Arabidopsis thaliana: one gene and its partner. The protein of the gene in region 2 interacts with the protein of the main gene of each other region in a pairwise test. Each region holds a gene or a part of one and is shown on either strand. Other genes may lie near its edges. The genes, in order: NAC024 and AGL91.

Region 1 (3,338 bases), on a different chromosome or scaffold from region 2:
GATAAAAAATTTATAAACTTTTTTTTTTGTTTTTCCTGGTCTGCTTAAATTAGTATCAGCTTAAAATATATGATAGTTGTTTCGTTGACATATGTATAAATATAATGTTAAAACGGATCATATTAGACCATGGCATTTTATATCCTAGTCCATGGCATTCTTTGAATATTTCTTAAAACAGAGGAAAATATTCTTTCTCTCTTAAGTCTCTGGCAACCAAAAAGGCTACATGTGCATATACACGAGAAATCAACACAACAACAATCTCTGCTTAGCAGATAAAAAAACATGTCAATTTAATTGATCTTCATTTAATTTATAGATTGTTCGGGTTGCTGATTCAGAAACATGTAGGTTGTTGTCGAATCATATGTACATGTTTGGTTACATAAGGCTCAATTTGTCTCTGATGTTTGTGATTGCTGCTAATATCGATTGTTTACATGCGATTAGTGTTATTTTGGGTTTAAAATATTGCAGCGACAAAAAAGCCTCTCCTCTCACAATCACAAACCACATGAAAGAGAGAAAAAAGCACACTAGTCTCTAAATCATATTGAACAGAGAAATATAAACACAAAGACTATCGATATATGTTTTAAAGAGAATGTCCTCAAGATACTAAGATGATCATAAAATCCAAAGAAAAGATTCTTAGTTATCATAAGTAAACTTGATAACGCACAAGAATTTATTCTGCTTCACGCTAAGCCTATACTCTTCTAGAGTCCAAGTTACCTTCACATCTTCTCCACCACAGAAGTATCTTTCTTTCTCCGTTTCATGAAACTTAAACACCTTCTTGAAACCAATAACTATCCCGGACTTTGACTTGATCAGCCTATCACGGTGCAAAATTTTCCAGTAACCACCATTAATGCATCTATCGGTTTTACCACAAGTCTTGTTAGCGAAGATGCAGGTTCCGTAATCATTAAACATCCGATCTTGAAGATCAACGAGCTCCAATGGATGCAGACAATACACATTGTTGGTAACGTAGCTAGGCCAATCGTTTCCTTCAGAAGTCATTATCGTCACCGGATAAGATACATCCTCCAATTGCTTATCTGATGAAAGGAATCCGTAAGCTGGCAACAGCTCATTTCGAGGAAGTGATTCTGATGTAGTGTAGAAATGCTTGGCTAGCAAGAAACTGATTTCAGCTTCAAACATAAACCGAATCTTGCAAATCACATGATCTTGCTTCCAGTTCAAGTTATTGGTAAGCCTATACTCTTCCATTACCCAACTTCTCTTGTATCCTCTAGGTTTCCTCTTTAGGCAGAACTTGAGAATCTTCTTGAACCCTTGAATCTTCACAGTCTCCGTCGATTTTATCGGTTTATCACGACCCATGATCCTCCAGCAACCAGTTTCACATCCATCGGTTTTACCACAAGCCTCTGTTCGAGGTTTAACTATCACGAAGCTAGGGCTCTCAGCATCGAACTCCACATTTGGATTCTTGTTGAACACGTCTGCGTCTTCGATGAAGTGATCAGGCCATGAGTCTCCGTTGACGACCATACGCTTCAGATAACGTGAGATTATTGCATCGTCTTCTGCGTTTAAGAGTTCGGCTTTGAGTAGATCAAAAGCTGCATCTTCCTCCATAATGAAACTAAATTGATCAAGAAAAATATGGGATCTAGAGAAAGAAAGATCAAACGCAAGAATGAGTGTTTGTTTCTTGGAGACGAAGCGAATAGGAAGAGAGTAGAGAATAAATGTGCTTTTAAGTTAGTAGCGACCGTTATTTATAATTTTCGTGGTGACCAATTGACTCTTGATGATCTCTCTTTATTTCGCAACTTTATTTCCCTCTTTAATGGATGGGTTCAAGAAACTAAAGGATGTTACAGTAAGACCACTAAGACAGAACTGCAGTAAGATTTGAGAGAGAAGTTTAGTTTACTCAAGGTTACAGTCTTTTTCCACTAATTATTTTTGTTATAGCATGCAAGTCCTTCTTATCGCTATGGGCTTGGTAGGGCTTTCTCTAGTCGTTAAATATGTTTCGCTTGAGTTTATTTCTGAGATATACATGCACATTCAAATAGACAATGTCTCATAGAGTCTATACATATAGATAGTCACGATTTTTATTTCCCATGGAATATTCAGAGTTAGCTCCTGTTATCTCGAGGATTCTGGTTTGCTGTTTCTTCTGGACTAACCCTTTGGTATCTTGCTCTAAATGGCCAAATGTTACCGAGTTGCATCCACCTTGGACGCCTTCTTTCAGGCATGTCTTGTCTAATAGGATTGCTCCTTTCTCGAGATTCAGCAACGGTGTTGACAAGTGGCAGGTCACGGCGGCAGATAGGGCAAGAATTGTTAAGCCTAAGCCACGGGACTATACAATCTTTATGGTAAATATGTTTACATGGTAATTCCGTTGCGTCCCCACCAACAATGAATTCTTCCATGCACACTGTGCATTGGGACATGTCGTTAGTTAGATGTTGTGGTGTTATTTTCACAGATGGTAGGGAATTAATGGTGGGTTCTGACGCAGGTGGTGGTCCAGGCCTATCGTCTTGTGTTAGTTGTTCAATCAGCTGCTCTAAGCTTGATGCTCCAGTAAAGTAATCATGTGAGTTCACATGCCGTGGTGGTGCTTGATTTGGTGGCGCAATTATGTTTCCGAGTGGACTAGTCGGATTATTGGGCCGGAGAATAACATATGTTCTTCTTGGTAGAGGTAAACCACCATTGTTAACATTGTCAAGGCTGTGTCGTCTTCGATGTTGCGGTCGGGGTCTTGATTCAGGTTCCAAGATGTTTCTGGATCTTGCCCTAAGAAATGGGTCTGCACCAAACCTACCTATGGTTGCAGGCTCAAACATGAGCGAGAGAGCTTCGAGAAGACGAGCCTCAGGAGAAGCATCAAAAGGCGGAGTAGCATGGTTGAAAGTAAACCGAGGCCGTTGTCTCGTTTCAATCTCAACGACAAATTGCCTCAAACATCGAGGACAGGCGATCTCTGATGGGTTAGAGGATGCAATTCTGACCATACGATCACAATGGTAGCACCAGTAGAGACCAAAAGTCCTAAATGCTCCATTGGGTGCACTATCGGTCCGTGTTATTGGCTGACTCAATGACATTGTTGGAAGGAATTGTTATACACAAGACATATAAACATTTACAACATTTATAGATAACGTTGAGGGTTGCATGAGGCAATTGAAAAGGGCAGATTCTTTTCAAATATAGGTCTTGGTTTCTTTGAGGCAAAGCTTGAGATGGATGAAGAAGCAATGCTCATTTTTTCTAGTTTTCTATGCTTTTAAGATTACCTCTAGCTAAAGGCTAGAATCATTTCTCGAATC
Region 2 (3,102 bases):
CATAGAATACAATTACAAAAATACTGTATTTTTGTTTTAGGTAATATTTAATAATTTGGAATAAGATATATAGGACATACATCAAATTATGTATTTTGATACTATTTTGACTAAAACTTAAAAATGTTAAAAACACATTTATAAATATGTTAATTAGTTGGTGTACTCTTATGTATTTTTTTCTAATTAAAGATAAATATCTAGAGTGTGTAGACAAAATCTATAATAATATAAGAGAAAAAAAAACAAATAACGCTTTAAAATTTCATATCGTAATCATTATCAATTTTGTAGAGTAGGAGATATTGTTATAATTCATTGTTTTTGAAAAGAGAAAATCTTCATAGTAATATTTGGCAACCGAAAGTTACAAACCATCGATCATCAAGAGGAAGATACAATCAATAAACCTGTACCAACCATCTGCTACATCTCTACCATATAAATCTATAACGACTAATACAAAATGAAAGTTCCAAATCGGTGTTGTTACTGTTGCCTTCTCATTTGCATAACTGCTAATTATCATTAGAGAGAAACATGAGAGAAGACGAAGCCTGCATATGACTAATGTTACTTTGGATCCCACAGCTTATTTTCTTAATCTTAGCCTCAAATTCCTTGAGTTCCTCAAGCGTAAGCTCCTCAATGGGCTTATTGAACTTATCCTGTTCAGCAGATTCAAGCCACTTGTGAAGATCTTCACCATGTTTCTTCTCAGCTTCAGCTTCTTCAGTAATCGAGTTGAGGCGTTTACATATCTTCTTCTCCTGTCTAGCTCTATTGCCTCTACTATAGCCTGATGTTTCACAGCTATCTCCTTCTTCTTCTTCTTCGAATTCATTCTTAAACCGTTCTGCAATCACATCAAAATTCGGTTTCCCGAAGGAATACGGTTTGTTTCCTGGAGAAAAGACAACAATACCAACCTCCGCGTTGCACAGAGTCGCAAGCTCGCTCGCTTTCTTGAACAAACCCAGCCTACGTTTTGAGAAGGTAACTTGCTTCGTGTTTGTGTCTTGCACTTTCTCCATCTTAATCTTTCTCCTACCCATTTCTTTTTTTTTGTGTGAAATGTTTTGAGTGATTGTAATCTATGTTTGTGTATATAAGAAGAAGATTGTATTTCTTTATGTATTTATAGTAATGAATGTGGAGAAAGTTGTTATTGAACCTCATCATCATATATGTATATTTTTAGTAAACTTTTGTTTTTGCATATATATACATATTTAGTAACTCCACTTTGAAAATCTTGCATTACCTTATGAGAGCATTGAATATTTTCCATGTATTTAATCAATATTCATAGATATTTAACTATTATTAGTATTATCTTACTATTAGACCTCTTATTAAATGGTAGTTTGAATTACAAGGAGAACTTTACCAAGTTAATAAACAAAATTTCTTCTTTACCAAAATAGTTTATTTCCACCCAACAAACAATAATAGTAGTTTGACAAATAATAAACACATATTAAAAAAATATTAACTTCTATGTATTATAGTAATAATCTTACGTGTCATATTTTTTTTTTAAATAGTATTATTTCTGGGTATAATTAATCATAAACATCTATGTACATTTAAAATTAAACCATTATTTATATTCAATAAAAATATAATCTGCAATGCGTTTAACCCATTAAGCCTTTTTTTTTGTTAGGTATAATTAAATCGAAACTCTATAAGTCTCTAAATCTATTACGTGGGTCAATTGACTTTTTGCAAAATTAGTTAGACTTCTATATATAAAAGTTGACTCTTGTCCACTAAGACAATTGACACCTGTAAAATTTTTATGGTATTGAACCCAATTAAATTTATTTTAAGTAAGTATGTTATATATAATGAAGTCCATTAATATAAATTATCTTAAATATCTTAATACTTGTTTGTCCATATCCTAAAAAAGTAAAAACGGTTTGGCTTCTTCTTTTTCGTTATTTCTTTTATTTTAGATCGTAGAGCTTTAAAATTAGAATTTCAGTAAAAACAAATTATGACTCCGATGGAGTAATTTTCTGGCTCTTACAGAGAGAACAAGCGTGGACTATTAATTGAAAAGCACAGAACAACCGCTGCTTATCTGTTCCATAACACAAAACAAACAAATAGATGTTATAAATGAAATTCAATCAATGAAAATTAATCACTCTATCTGTTTCAAAATATTATTATATGTCTTAGATAAAAGCACAAAGTTCAAGAATCTAACTAATTTTTTTGTTATATTTTTTACATTAAAAACATAACTTAATATTTAATTATAGATAATCTAGCCAATGGTGAAATTTAATGTAGAATATACATAGTCACAAATTTGAATGAATTTAATTTTTGTCATAGAAATCTAAATGTTTTTCTAAAATATCTTATCATATAAAACAGAGGGAGTAAATACATTAAGTTTTCAAGCCAAAAAAAAAAAAGAAAAAAAAAACTTACAAGGAGGTAGATATCAATTATGTAGATCAAAGAATAAGCCGTCCAAAGTCCAGCGTTGATGAAACTAACTAACGACAGCCAAAACGGCATGTACTTGAAGGTCTTACTCTCCAGCATTTTTTTCTAATTGTTGCACGAATTACAAACAAAAAAAACTAATCAAAACCGCTAATTAATACTTAACCATCAATGAGAGTGAGAGTGAGAGTGAGAGTGAAAGCTTTACCTTGGCAAATGAAACATAGATACAAATGTTGAAAATGTTGCAAACAATCCCAATGAGTGTATACTTGGCGAATAAACTTTGAATTGCCCAAATAGTAATCACATAGAACGATGTCACAAAATCAAACACAGCCAGAAGACATAGATTAACATTTCTCTTCTGCACATCAACATCAACATCATCAAAATCAATATGCAGAATTAGACATATCTAAGTATAAAAGATGGACCTACACGTGATTCGTCTTCACAGCAGATCCAAAAGACAACCACAAAGATTACTTCGTTAACGAAACCAATACTATTACTAGTGGTGACGAGAATACTGTCCTTGTGAACAACAGGGAGACCATACAAAACCCACAAACTACATTGAATCAACAGCACTAAATGAGGAGCAATTTGAACTCCCTCCACTGATTTCTT

Evidence for each region.
Region 1: the proteins of AGL91 (region 2) and NAC024 interact in a two-hybrid assay, tested with the Arabidopsis thaliana proteins (one large-scale study listed by BioGRID).

Annotation. Positions count from the first base shown.
Region 1 is NC_003070.9:22,240,619-22,243,956, forward strand, and holds NAC024 (NAC domain containing protein 24), read right to left. Parts: upstream 1,618-3,338; coding exon 655-1,617; downstream 1-654. Other genes in the region: AT1G60360 (RING/U-box superfamily protein), read right to left, coding at 2,130-3,113.
Region 2 is NC_003074.8:2,090,744-2,093,845, forward strand, and holds AGL91 (AGAMOUS-like 91), read right to left. Parts: upstream 1,056-3,102; coding exon 519-1,055; downstream 1-518.